Linked DNA regions of Saccharomyces cerevisiae S288C. Changing the gene in region 1 together with any one later gene gives a genetic interaction. Each region holds a gene or a part of one and is shown in the gene's direction. Other genes may lie near its edges.

Region 1 (3,890 bases):
TAGTTGTAGAGCTTTTGGTTTGAAGTTGTGAATATCTTCATGCTTGAAGGCTGCAAAGATACCACACATATTGTATTGTAGTGAGTATTTGTGTTTTGGTGAGCTTAACTGGGAAGCAAAAAAAATAGTATAAAAGTTAAATTAGAATAAATGAAACTAAGCAAGTGGCAAATCTTTGAAATATGCGATTCAAAGTCATAATTTTTTCAAGAAGAGAGGCTGGATGAGGCTTTACTGATTTTCTGGAGAAATCTTGCCATGAGTCAATGCTAAGAAAATTTGCAAAAACCCGCGCCGTGCGGCACCCATATGTGAATAAAGCTTTACTAGTAGATAGAAAATGTAGACCATTCCTGCAGGGTCCATACTACGGACGTATGGCTTTGTGAATCGTTTCACAAAGCCAAAAGAATGAACCCAATACGCAAGGTCCAGTTATGCAGAGAGCAGCAGGATAGCGGCTGTTGCACGCAACGAGACTGTTCTCTCATGTTTTCCACGATTTGATATATCCCCCTCTTAGTAAATACAGAGCCGTTCGAACGGTTTCTTTAGTAAAATCCAGGCTCCACCTTGATGGGAGGCATGATGAGTTCCAATTAGGAATGAGCAGGAGCTCACTTTAATCTTGTTATCGCAATGTGGAGTTAGCCTTAAGAACGTGTCCAAACCTCTTATGTATTGTTTTGTTCGTAATTTGATCGCTTTGTACGTGCAAATCGCTCTCTGCCCACAGCAGGAAGGACCACATAAGTGAATAAGTAAGTGGTGGTTCTATGATTTATCGGGATCTTATATTTGCATTCTAAAAAGTAAATGGTCTCTAGCGGGATCGAACCGCTGATCCCCGCGTTATTAGCACGGTGCCTTAACCAACTGGGCCAAGAGACCTATTTTTTTCGGAAGTCACTGATTAATAGTTTGATAATACAGGTGTAAAGAGTAGTATTTTCATGTGTCGCATTGTGTATGACAACATATGTGCGTTCGAAATAGATATAAGGCTTCTAATTTTCAAAGAAGGCGGTATCGTTAAGTATATGCATATGTTACGGTTTCACCTTGAGGATTAGAACTCTAAAAAAGGAAATAAGAGTGCTACAAAAAATGACGATTACTTCTTTTTTCGTTCTATGATATCGCCGCTCATTGTTCTATTACATCACCAATCCTTGAAATTTCAGCTTCATTGAATTGATGATGCTTTTAATAGAAACCATTTATGTCATATTTTGAGAGCCATACATGATAATATTCTGGTAATATAATCATAAGTTATTGGTTGTAGTTGGCGTAATATTCCAGGATTACGAATATGTATTTTATTTTACGCCCGCCATGTTGTATTTTTTTATCATAAAATTTTACACCATGACAAATCTAATACCACTGATGCAGTGTACTGTTTATACTTAAGAAATAGGTAAATTTTGAGATAATTGTTGGGGTTCCACAATACTGTCTGTCATCTTCTGTTATTCTGAGTATTTTTTTTCCTTTTAGCAGTTTCTTGTTCGTACCTTGGCCACTGAAAATTCTGGCTGAGACAATTATCAGGAACACTTCTAGTCCTCAAAAGTTCCTTCTCATTTTCTTCTTTATGAAAATATTTTTTCAATCATTGTATGTATGTATTTCTTTTTCCGTTAAAACGCTAAACCAGGGAAAAAAACGACGGCGGGAAACTGAAAAATTTCACAGATGAGGTAAGAAAATTGGCGAAAACAGCTTATAGAGCTTGACACAGAACTTTAACAATTTTAGAGGCAAGAAATAACGCTTGCCTTGGTATAATCAAATATCTCGAATATGTCAACACCCACAGCAGCAGATCGCGCGAAGGCACTTGAAAGAAAGAACGAAGGAAATGTTTTTGTGAAGGAAAAACATTTTTTAAAGGCCATTGAAAAATATACAGAGGCGATCGATTTAGATTCTACACAGTCTATCTATTTTTCGAACAGAGCATTTGCTCACTTTAAGGTAGATAACTTTCAAAGCGCTTTAAATGACTGTGATGAAGCCATTAAACTGGATCCCAAAAATATCAAAGCTTATCATAGACGTGCATTATCCTGCATGGCTCTGCTAGAATTTAAAAAGGCTAGGAAAGATTTGAATGTGCTTCTAAAGGCGAAGCCCAATGATCCGGCTGCTACTAAGGCGTTACTTACATGTGATAGGTTCATTAGAGAAGAAAGATTTAGGAAAGCTATCGGAGGCGCAGAAAATGAAGCCAAGATCAGTTTGTGTCAGACTTTGAACTTGAGTTCATTTGATGCTAATGCAGATTTAGCCAATTATGAAGGTCCAAAGTTAGAATTTGAACAGCTGTATGACGATAAGAATGCCTTTAAAGGTGCAAAGATCAAGAACATGTCTCAAGAGTTTATTTCCAAAATGGTTAACGATCTTTTCCTAAAGGGAAAATATTTACCAAAAAAGTACGTTGCAGCTATTATCTCTCATGCTGATACCTTATTTCGTCAAGAGCCATCTATGGTAGAACTAGAAAATAACTCTACTCCTGATGTTAAGATATCAGTATGTGGTGATACGCATGGCCAATTTTATGATGTTTTGAATTTATTTCGCAAGTTTGGTAAAGTAGGTCCTAAGCACACTTATCTATTCAATGGTGATTTTGTCGACCGTGGTTCTTGGTCGTGTGAAGTTGCACTATTATTCTACTGTTTGAAAATATTACATCCAAATAATTTCTTTTTGAACAGAGGTAATCATGAGAGTGATAATATGAACAAAATCTATGGGTTTGAAGATGAGTGTAAATACAAATATTCACAAAGGATATTTAACATGTTTGCACAAAGTTTTGAGAGCCTTCCATTGGCTACCTTAATTAATAATGATTACCTTGTAATGCATGGTGGTTTACCAAGTGATCCTTCAGCAACTTTGTCTGATTTCAAGAATATTGATAGATTTGCCCAACCACCTAGAGATGGCGCCTTTATGGAACTTCTATGGGCGGACCCACAAGAAGCCAACGGGATGGGTCCTTCTCAGCGTGGTTTAGGACATGCTTTTGGACCCGACATTACAGATAGATTTCTAAGAAACAACAAATTGCGCAAGATTTTTAGATCTCACGAGTTAAGAATGGGTGGTGTGCAATTCGAGCAGAAGGGTAAATTAATGACAGTTTTCAGTGCTCCAAACTATTGTGATAGCCAAGGTAATCTTGGGGGTGTTATTCATGTTGTACCAGGCCATGGTATTTTACAGGCTGGCAGGAATGACGACCAAAATCTAATAATTGAGACATTCGAAGCTGTTGAGCACCCAGATATAAAACCAATGGCCTATTCTAATGGTGGTTTTGGTTTATAGTCATGCCTTTTCTATTTTGCTAGATTATTATCAAAAGCAGAAAGTCTGGGAATAAAAGAAACTAATATGAGCTAACGAAGTGGAGGAAGTAACTTTTTTTTTTTTTTTATAAATTTATACATCTTTCACAAAAAATTTCATAATGTTTATTGTCATGTATCATATCATAATACCTCTTAGAAAAATAAGAAATATCTTCGTTGTTGAACAACATTATTCCCTTCAGCCAGGAAATTATTTAAAAAAACAACACTCACGATGGGGGTCGAACCCATAATCTTCTGATTAGAAGTCAGACGCGTTGCCATTACGCCACGCGAGCTATTGAAATTACACTTGTGTTGAATTACGGGCTCGAGTAATACCGGAGTGTCTTGACAATCCTAATATAAACAGTCTTAGGGAAGTAACCAGTTGTCAAAACAGTTTATCAGATTAATTCACGGAATGTTACTTATCTTATATATTATATAAAATATGAATCATACTAAGTGGTGGAAGCGCGGAATCTCGGATCTAAACTAATTGTTCAGGCATTT
Region 2 (3,071 bases), on another chromosome or scaffold:
GCAATTAGGACTTGGTACAAACATTTATAACGCAGAAAGGTTAGGTCTGGGAGGTGGAGGTGATATGCCTGGTTCAGAGTTGGCTGATTTTGTTGAAAATGCCGATGGTTTCGCAGAAGTTTTCCCACAGCATAAATACAGAGTCGTTGAAATCTTGCAAAACAGAGGTTACTTGGTTGCTATGACTGGTGATGGTGTTAACGATGCCCCATCTTTGAAGAAGGCTGATACTGGTATTGCTGTCGAAGGTGCTACCGATGCTGCCAGATCAGCCGCTGATATTGTTTTCTTGGCCCCTGGTCTCTCTGCTATTATTGATGCCTTAAAGACTTCTAGACAGATTTTCCACAGAATGTACTCCTATGTTGTTTATCGTATTGCCCTATCCTTACATTTGGAGATTTTCCTGGGTTTATGGATTGCTATTTTAAACAACTCTTTGGATATCAATTTGATCGTTTTTATTGCTATTTTCGCAGACGTTGCCACTTTAACTATTGCTTATGACAATGCTCCTTATGCTCCTGAACCTGTGAAATGGAACCTACCAAGATTATGGGGTATGTCTATTATTTTGGGCATAGTTTTAGCTATAGGTTCTTGGATTACTTTAACCACCATGTTCTTGCCTAATGGTGGTATTATCCAAAATTTTGGTGCCATGAATGGTGTCATGTTCCTGCAGATTTCACTAACTGAAAATTGGTTAATTTTTGTCACTAGAGCTGCTGGCCCATTCTGGTCTTCCATTCCATCGTGGCAGTTAGCCGGTGCCGTTTTCGCCGTTGATATTATTGCTACCATGTTTACCTTATTTGGCTGGTGGTCTGAAAACTGGACTGATATTGTGTCAGTCGTTCGTGTCTGGATTTGGTCCATTGGTATTTTTTGTGTATTGGGAGGATTTTACTATATTATGTCCACGTCTCAAGCCTTTGATAGGTTGATGAATGGTAAGTCATTAAAGGAAAAGAAGTCTACAAGAAGTGTCGAAGATTTCATGGCTGCTATGCAAAGAGTTTCTACTCAACACGAAAAAAGCAGTTAGTAATTTTAAACATCATCCATCTGATTTTTTTTCTTATTGATCTCCTTTTTGTTATTCCTCATTTTCATTTCAATTTGTCGATACCAAGGAAGCCAAGACGTTATAAAAGAACACGGTCAACAAAAATCAAATTAATGCCTCTTCAATTGTGCTCTGTTTGATACCTTCGATATGATGTTACAGTTTTAAAGTTTACACACAAGTTTTTAGACTAAGTGGCATCATATCTGTCAATTTTATCACACACACACACACACACACACACAAACAAACATATCCACATATCAGAAGTAGGCCGATCTTTTGCTTGATTGGATGCAAATTCATATGGAAAATTTTTTTCATATTATTTCGTGTTCTTTTGACTATTTTCCTCTCCAAAAAGGAAGAATCATTCCAATAACAACACACGAATTCCCATCCAACATGGTGAAATGACTAAATATTTTTTTTTTCGAAACATTAAATCAATCTAATTCTTAATTTTTAATAAACATATAATGCACACTTATTTACATACAAGCACATTGCACGTATTATATCAGTTTCTTCTTTTATGTTGATATATTTTTCTAATAATGTTATTATCATGTAGTCGTGTATGTGCGCCTCTCCCGCGAGAAGTCCAACACCATAAGAAATCAAATGTCAAGAGAAATAAAGAATTGTTTCCCATCATAGATAAGACTATATCAGAAAAGTGCTCATCAAAGCTAAATCTATTATGAGATGTCTTAGGCATAACAAAAAAGGGAGAGCGGTGCAAGATAAACATACCGTCGGATAAAAAGTACTGTCATTATCATCAGTGGCAAGATGCAAGGTACACACGGGCACCAAGAGATAATGCGCAAAATAAACCGGGTTTTATTTACATCTATACATACAGTAACCTCTTTGAATCATACATATCTGAAAAGACGGTAGATTTAAAATGGCTATTTATTGATGAGTCAATAGTTCGGACTAATGGTAAAAAGAAGAGACAATGGGTAGACAGAGACTTTATTCTATGTAAGATAGGAATGACCACTCGAAAAACAGTAGATTCAAGACTTTTAGAATGGCAAACCACATGCAAGCATCCAGTGATAAACTTGACTCCAGAGAAAGTCGATAAATTATACCACTTGAAATTGAAAAGTGAAAGCAAAAATATCAGTTCAAACAGGCTATTGCCCATTTCATTATCAAGCTTACAAAAAAAAATGGAGAAACTTTTCATCAAAGATAAAAGTCACTCACACAAGCCTTCCCTTCCAGATCCTAAGGTGCCAACCCTACGCACTTATAAAGATGGTGGATTTTTCATTAGCGGAAAAGGTTCAATGAAACTACCAGATATCGAAAGCGCTATTCATAAATTTTTATGGAAGAAATACGGGAAAGGATTGGTTTACTGTTATGGGTGTGATCCAACTGGAAAAAAGAGGCATACAGAGTGGTTCAATGTGCCTGTATTGGAGCTACCATCAGTACTAAGACTTATTGATTCTTATTGCCTTGGAGGAGAATCTCGTTAGACTTAAAAAAAATTTTTTGGCCTATTCTGGCCGGTTTATTCAAATTATTTATCATCATAAAAATTGTAGTGTTACCTTTCTTTTCCTTGAATTATTTATAGAAATATATGTGCTTAGCAATTTTATCACTGTTACTTCGATTTGTAGTACCCTTAAGTAAAAGAGCTTTTGAAACCAGTTATCAAAAGAATATCACCAATTGATCTTTTGCTTTCGAGAATTGTATCACCATATCTTCCCTCAAGTAGACAGTGGACGAGATGTTTCGAGATACTCGGGGAAAGTCTCTTCCAATGTGCTTCACTTTCAAAACTGGGTAAATATGCAATCAGCGTTTTTACATTCAAATTACTATCTTTCAATTTAAGCTCTGAGGTTATTCCATCGTGGAAAGAGTTTATACCACATTTCGATGTAATAAAATGTGTTCCTGATTTGCACGGTTTTAACGTCAATACCGATGATATGTTGACAATATAGAACCCCTTTGCTTTTTCTTG
Region 3 (4,152 bases), on another chromosome or scaffold:
ATTTTTCAAAGGCATTGTACATAGAAACAGCGAAAAAACTGTAGCAGCCACTTTCACTGAGCTACTGTATATAAGGCGGGCAGTAGAAACCAAGACATAATAATTCAAAGAAGAAACAACCAATTAACAATGCGTGGTTTCAGTGGTCAACCATTGAGTGATGATGATAATTATAGAATTGAAAAGACTCAAAGGAACACAATTCCTGAACGTCTCCATTTTAGCAGAGAGAGAAATATGCCCATTGCAAGTATATTCGGGACTAGAGGATATTTTGTATTCTCAAGTGAGCAATCCTATGACAAATTCAAACAGACAAACTTTAATATCAGTACTCTAGATGCGGATGGTGTAGGTGTTCCTCTTTTTCATATTGTCCAAAGTTATAACGTTATTGGCAAAATTACTCGGAGCTCGCCGGATTTCTATATCTACAAGTACGTTTTACAAGGGGTGCAAGATCCGCCTTTATACTCTGATTGTAAAGTTATTTGTCAAGATAAAGTTTTTCGTTTATGCAAAATTTTATATTGTGAAATTTATGCTCATCAAGGATTTTTTGAAACTAAATACGATTTCTTCTATCCTTCTAAAACGCAGCCGGTCAAAAAATACCAAATAATCAAACAAAGTAATATGCGAGATCTATATTCCACTTTGGACGGTATGCGTTTTCGTTGGCATGTGAAATTCTACAGCGATCATTTTCGATTGATGTTCCTAGATGAGGACAGGCTCAATTACTCAAATAGTAACCAAAAGGAAAGGCAAAAACCAGATCAAGGAAAAAGTAAGGCTCCAGATTTCGTAATTGGCCATTATACAAGAACTTTTTCCGATATACTCCCTAGATCCACGTCAAAATGCTCCAATCTTATTATTGGAGAACACTCAAAGCCAGACTCTCTTGGTATCACGACCGTTCCTGATTTGACTCAGGAATTTGCCTGTCAGGGAGCTTTAATCCATTATCTGCTGCATATAGAACGAGAAAGAAAATAAAAAAAGAAACAGAAACAGAAATAGAAAATGGTGAAGTAGGATACAATCTAGTGGCTTATTACTCAAGGATTTTTTCGCAATCCGTCCAATCCGAAAAATATAACTTGACGTGTAACACCCAGAGGAACGTTATACAGGCAACTGAGGTCGAATGAAACGAGATTACTCTTTAGGTTCAATTGAGCAGGCATTTATCCGAGACATTACGACCTAGCCAAATGAGATACATACATATTAGCTAGAACTTCGCATCACATATTTTTTCAATTTTTTTTCAATACGCAATTATTGCCCATAATTAATCTGAGGTTTTCATACTTATTGGCAATAGTAAGATCAAGGTAACGTTGTTTTTGGTTTGACTTTATACAGGATTTATTCCTACGTAGTCAAGATTATGGTATATTTTGTGTGCATTTTAACACCGGCGCTAGTACCAACATCTTTTTACTGATTGTATTCATAGAGTATCCTTTTAATATTACTTAGCAAGTATTTTGTAACAAATCCAAGCATAATATAACAAGCTCCGTCAATTGAACCCACCTTTTTAACAATATGAGAAGATACAGCTGTTTTTTCTCGAAATTGTTATCTAGAAGTTTATGCAAAATCAAAACTCTATCCAGAATCATCATCGGAGCTTTTTGAAATCCATAAATCTTTCTATCCAATAAGCATATTAAAGAAGTTATTGATATGAAGATGACGCTTCATAATGCTAGCTACAACAATTACGTTTGATGACTGCGTATTCAATTATTTTTATCCCGAACTACATATCTCGCTTTTACTGGCGCCACTTTTCTTCCTCGTTTTTCGAGGAAGCAGTCAAATTAAACCTTAAGGGGTGAAAGTATGCTTACTTTGACACTTATTCCTCTTTACAATTCGTTTCACAGAACAGACAACCAGCACTGATAATGAAAAGAACGGTAATATCTTCCTCGAACGCATATGCTAGTAAGAGATCTCGGCTGGATATAGAACATGATTTTGAACAATACCACTCGTTGAACAAAAAATATTATCCAAGGCCAATTACTAGGACAGGCGCAAATCAATTCAATAATAAGTCTCGGGCTAAACCAATGGAGATTGTGGAAAAACTGCAAAAGAAGCAAAAAACGTCGTTTGAGAATGTTAGCACTGTCATGCACTGGTTTCGAAATGATCTACGTTTATATGATAATGTGGGACTGTACAAAAGTGTTGCGCTCTTCCAGCAATTGAGGCAAAAAAACGCAAAAGCCAAATTATATGCTGTTTATGTCATCAATGAAGATGATTGGAGAGCCCATATGGATAGCGGATGGAAATTGATGTTTATAATGGGGGCGTTAAAAAATTTGCAGCAGTCCTTAGCCGAATTACACATACCTCTTCTTCTGTGGGAATTCCACACTCCAAAAAGTACCTTATCTAATTCAAAAGAGTTCGTGGAGTTTTTCAAAGAAAAATGTATGAATGTAAGTTCAGGAACAGGTACGATAATCACTGCTAATATAGAATACCAAACAGATGAACTGTACCGTGATATTAGGCTGTTAGAAAATGAAGACCATAGATTGCAATTGAAATACTACCACGACTCTTGCATTGTTGCTCCTGGATTGATCACTACTGACAGAGGCACCAACTATTCTGTGTTTACTCCATGGTACAAAAAATGGGTGCTATATGTAAATAATTACAAAAAGAGTACCTCTGAAATTTGTCATTTGCATATAATCGAACCATTAAAGTACAACGAAACTTTTGAACTGAAGCCATTCCAATATTCATTACCGGATGAATTCCTTCAATATATACCTAAATCAAAATGGTGCTTGCCAGACGTTTCTGAAGAAGCAGCTTTATCCAGATTAAAAGATTTCCTCGGTACAAAAAGTTCTAAGTACAACAATGAAAAAGACATGCTATATTTGGGTGGAACCTCTGGGCTAAGTGTATATATAACTACTGGTAGGATAAGCACAAGACTTATAGTCAACCAGGCATTTCAATCATGCAACGGACAAATAATGTCAAAAGCACTGAAAGATAATTCGTCCACCCAAAATTTCATCAAAGAAGTTGCATGGAGAGATTTTTACAGACATTGTATGTGCAACTGGCCATATACCTCAATGGGAATGCCTTATCGATTGGACACTTTAGATATAAAATGGGAGAATAACCCTGTAGCATTTGAAAAGTGGTGTACTGGTAATACAGGCATTCCCATAGTCGATGCCATAATGAGAAAATTACTGTACACAGGCTATATTAATAACAGATCTAGAATGATCACAGCTTCTTTTCTTTCTAAAAACTTATTAATAGATTGGAGATGGGGGGAACGCTGGTTTATGAAACACTTGATAGACGGTGATTCGTCTTCAAATGTTGGTGGCTGGGGTTTTTGTTCTAGTACAGGAATTGATGCCCAACCATATTTTAGAGTTTTTAATATGGATATACAAGCAAAAAAATATGACCCACAAATGATATTCGTCAAACAATGGGTTCCCGAATTGATTTCTTCCGAAAATAAGCGTCCAGAAAACTATCCAAAACCTTTAGTTGATTTAAAGCATAGTAGGGAGCGTGCTTTGAAAGTTTATAAAGACGCAATGTGAGAATAACGTCTCCTGATTAAGCAGGTGTGCTTTAGTAGTTTTGCCGCTTTGCTTGATCACTGTTAGTATTTCGGCAAATTATATGGTATTGGTCGCCTTGCCAGGTTCTTTAGGAAGTTCATCATAAACTAACGCTTTCAAGAATTTACGGAAATGATAGGGTTTATAGTTTTTATAACAGTAGTGGACCTAGAAAACACCGATAGCTGGCGGCGGTTATATCTCATTACTACTATGAAAACTGTGGCTCCTGAGTAGCTACTGAAGGATGTGCCCATCTTAATCCAGACCTAGTCAATACAATCAATACAACTGTCTAGCTGAAAACTGACAAAAAAGTTTGTCGATGTCTCTAGTATATTCACTATAACACTAAATTTTATTGTAAATTATTACACAAGTTTTCAAGAAGAAAAACAATATTAAACACAATAACTAGATTATGCGAGGCACGGCAAAAGGAGTGAAGAGGGCAAAATACGGAGAAGACAATATAGAATAAATTTCTTTTTTTGATTAGAGAAGATTG
Region 4 (3,300 bases), on another chromosome or scaffold:
AATGAGTTAAAGGAGAAACATCAAGTCGCTCTAAAAGCCCAGGCCCAAGCCCAAGCTCAAGCCCAATCTCAAGCTCAAACATCAATTGAAGCACTAACGCCAACTGAAGCAACAAACCAATCCGATACAAATGAATATAAAGCAACAGGAACTCCGAATTTGAGGGACATCGAAGATATGGCACTATATAGTGTAAACTACGGAGACTCTCCAGTGAGATCTCCACCACCTGTTGTAAGCTCTCAGCCACAAATGAACTCACCATTATCCTCACATTCACAAACTTTCGGAGAGAATAATGGCACGAATGACAAATTACTACAAGAACGCGAATTGCAACTCCGTAAAAAGGAATTAGAGCTACAAGAACGTGAACTGGAGTTCCAGAAAAGAGCATTACAGCAACAAAGATTTAATAATAGCAATAATTCAATTCCAAGAAAGCCTTCCTTCCCTCAATTACAGCAGTCTGCAAACGTTCGTTCTAACAGCAGAGGAATGCATGGCACCAATGGCGCTATGTCTCAACCTGCATCCGCCGGAAATTTTGTAGACCCAATTTCTTCAAGTATCGCTGCATATGACCCGCAACAACCTCCTTCCTTACCCCTACAGCAGCCACAACAATCGGTACAAGTACAACCTTTTCACTCACACTCTATCAAGCCCACAAGTAGGAAGAATAGAAATAGTAATATGCCTAATATTGGTAATCCTTCCAGTATAAATATGAGTGATTTTGGCAGACCACCGAACAATTCAAGTCAAACTCGCTTAAATTCCATGCCAACGCATAGCATCGTAAACCAGAATAGATTGAGATCACAACAATCGAAAAACAAACTGAATATGCCACATGCCACCAACCCAAACAATACTTTTAACCAAGTCCCTGCTCCTAGTTTAAACAATCACGTTCCCACACAAAGGCAATTTAGCTCCAGTACCATGATAGAAGTTACAAATAATAACAACAAAGTTAATAACAGTAGTAGCAACCCTGATATTTCCACCAACTCGGTAGTTCATAACGCAATGCAATTTACAAATACAAACAACAATACAAGTAGCACTGTGGATATAAACGATCCCAAAAATATTGCACCCCCTCCTACAACCTCTGTTTCAGCCCCAAGCACTCCAACCTTGTCCTCATCAAGTCAAATGGCGAATATGGCTTCGCCTAGTACCGATAATGGTGACAATGAGGAGAAAAATGGTGGTAAGAAGAAGAGATTTGGCCTATTCAAAAAAAAAAATAAATCAAAGAAATAATATCCTTCGACAGCTTAATGAACACGCATGTAAATGTTTTGTAAACAGTTTGTTTTTTCGTTTTTGTATCTGTTAATTTTCTATTATTTATTTTTTTAGTTTTTTTTTGCGGTAGAATTGGGTTATCACTGAATCTATTTTATTTTTTGGGTTGGTTTCTCCCTGTTTTCAGTTTGTTTGAATTGGTGTTTAACAAAATCTGGAATTATTCACTATAATTATTTCCTCTTTTTAGTTTGACCAAATAAACTCAACTATCTTGTGTTATTTCTTTGTATTATAGCTTTACACATATTTAACTATCCATACCTTTTACTTTTTGTATATACTGTTAATTTCATAAAACACGTTTTAGTACCAGAAAATCGTGTCATAGCACCGTTTTAGCAGTGATTTTTAAAATTGTCCAAGGTGCCAATAAATACTGGTGGGAACAACATTTTAATTAGAATAGCTAAAACCTTCTAAGAAAACTATCCCAGCGTAGAAAGAAAGAAATCTCTATCAGCCGCGCAAGTGCAGTATCTCTTATTTTTGCACGGCCCCGTCGCTATATTGTCACACGCATTTGAATTAGTGACTCAATAATAATACAGATTTGTGACGTATAAAGAAACCACAGAAAAACTGCGTATGTCCGAAGCACAGGTCCACTAGTAATAGAGCCCAAAAATCTGACATGAAGAAAACAATTTACAAAGTCCTCGTAAGTTTTTATCAATATGTCGGTTTAGGTAAAAAGTTCCATCCTAGCCACGATACAGTATTAATTATTGGCGGTTCTTCAAATGAGTTAGGCATCGAGCTCTGCGAGACATTTATAGAAGATTATCATACAAAGGTTATAAATATTGACACTATAGACAGTATTAATGGAAAAAACGCAAGGAGAAGTGAAAAACTGTATACTTTTATTTCTTGCAAAGATTTCAGTGACATAAAATGTCTTGAGGAATCCATGCTTTACCTTCAAAATTTAGAAATAATTCCTACAGTGCTCATTAACAACATGCAGGAGGGAATCGAATCGACTCTTCTCAAAGAAGACAAATTTTTGAGACTTGATGAAGAGTCTTTAAATGAATTCGAGAAAATCGTGAGGTATAATTTACAAAGTGTAATATTGATAACTAAGTTCTGCTTGAGTAACATTTTTCCAAAGGTTCAAGCTGAAGCTCAAGAAAAAGCAAAGGGGTTCTATATTGTCAACATATCATCGGTATTGACGTTAAAACCGTGCAAATCAGGAACACATTTTATTACATCGAAATGTGGTATAAACTCTTTCCACGATGGAATAACCTCAGAGCTTAAATTGAAAGATAGTAATTTGAATGTAAAAACGCTGATTGCATATTTACCCAGTTTTGAAAGTGAAGCACATTGGAAGAGACTTTCCCCGAGTATCTCGAAACATCTCGTCCACTGTCTACTTGAGGGAAGATATGGTGATACAATTCTCGAAAGCAAAAGATCAATTGGTGATATTCTTTTGATAACTGGTTTCAAAAGCTCTTTTACTTAAGGGTACTACAAATCGAAGTAACAGTGATAAAATTGCTAAGCACATATATTTCTATAAATAATTCAAGGAAAAGAAAGGTAACACTACAATTTTTATGATGATAAATAATTTGAATAAACCGGCCAGAATAGGCCAAAAAATTTTTTTTAAGTCTAACGAGATTCTCCTCCAAGGCAATAAGAATCAATAAGTCTTAGTACTGATGGTAGCTCCAATACAGGCACATTGAACCACTCTGTATGCCTCTTTTTTCCAGTTGGATCACACCCATAACAGTAAACCAATCCTTTCCCGTATTTCTTCCATAAAAATTTATGAATAGCGCTTTCGATATCTGGTAGTTTCATTGAACCTTTTCCGCTAATGAAAAATCCACCATCTTTATAAGTGCGTAGGGTTGGCACCTTAGGATCTGGAAGGGAAGGCTTGTGTGAGTGACTTTTATCTTTGATGAAAAGTTTCTCCATTTTTTTTTGTAAGCTTGATAATGAAATGGGCAA

The links.
Region 2: mutations in PPT1 (region 1) and YPL034W together harm fitness more than expected from each alone (negative genetic interaction), as found in Saccharomyces cerevisiae (one large-scale study listed by BioGRID).
Region 3: mutations in PPT1 (region 1) and PHR1 together harm fitness more than expected from each alone (negative genetic interaction), as found in Saccharomyces cerevisiae (one large-scale study listed by BioGRID).
Region 4: mutations in PPT1 (region 1) and SRL4 together harm fitness more than expected from each alone (negative genetic interaction), as found in Saccharomyces cerevisiae (one large-scale study listed by BioGRID).

The regions. Positions count from the first base shown.
Region 1 is NC_001139.9:736,123-740,012, reverse strand, and holds PPT1 (protein serine/threonine phosphatase), read left to right. Parts: upstream 1-1,809; coding exon 1,810-3,351; downstream 3,352-3,890. Other genes in the region: ASN2 (asparagine synthase (glutamine-hydrolyzing) 2), read right to left, coding at 1-69. UniProt on the Saccharomyces cerevisiae protein: Protein phosphatase that specifically binds to and dephosphorylates the molecular chaperone Hsp90 (HSC82 and HSP82). Dephosphorylation positively regulates the Hsp90 chaperone machinery.
Region 2 is NC_001148.4:484,639-487,709, forward strand, and holds YPL034W (uncharacterized protein), read left to right. Parts: upstream 1-2,073; coding exon 2,074-2,571; downstream 2,572-3,071. Other genes in the region: H(+)-exporting P2-type ATPase PMA2, read left to right, coding at 1-1,048; SRL4 (Srl4p), read right to left, coding at 2,724-3,071.
Region 3 is NC_001147.6:1,064,914-1,069,065, forward strand, and holds PHR1 (deoxyribodipyrimidine photo-lyase PHR1), read left to right. Parts: upstream 1-1,925; coding exon 1,926-3,623; downstream 3,624-4,152. Other genes in the region: YOR385W (uncharacterized protein), read left to right, coding at 130-1,002. UniProt on the Saccharomyces cerevisiae protein: Involved in repair of UV radiation-induced DNA damage.
Region 4 is NC_001148.4:486,862-490,161, reverse strand, and holds SRL4 (Srl4p), read left to right. Parts: upstream 1-1,954; coding exon 1,955-2,800; downstream 2,801-3,300. Other genes in the region: SVL3 (Svl3p), read left to right, coding at 1-1,275; YPL034W (uncharacterized protein), read right to left, coding at 2,953-3,300. UniProt on the Saccharomyces cerevisiae protein: May be involved in the regulation of dNTP production. Induces the SOS system when expressed in E.coli, therefore, it may play a role in DNA metabolism and/or in genome stability.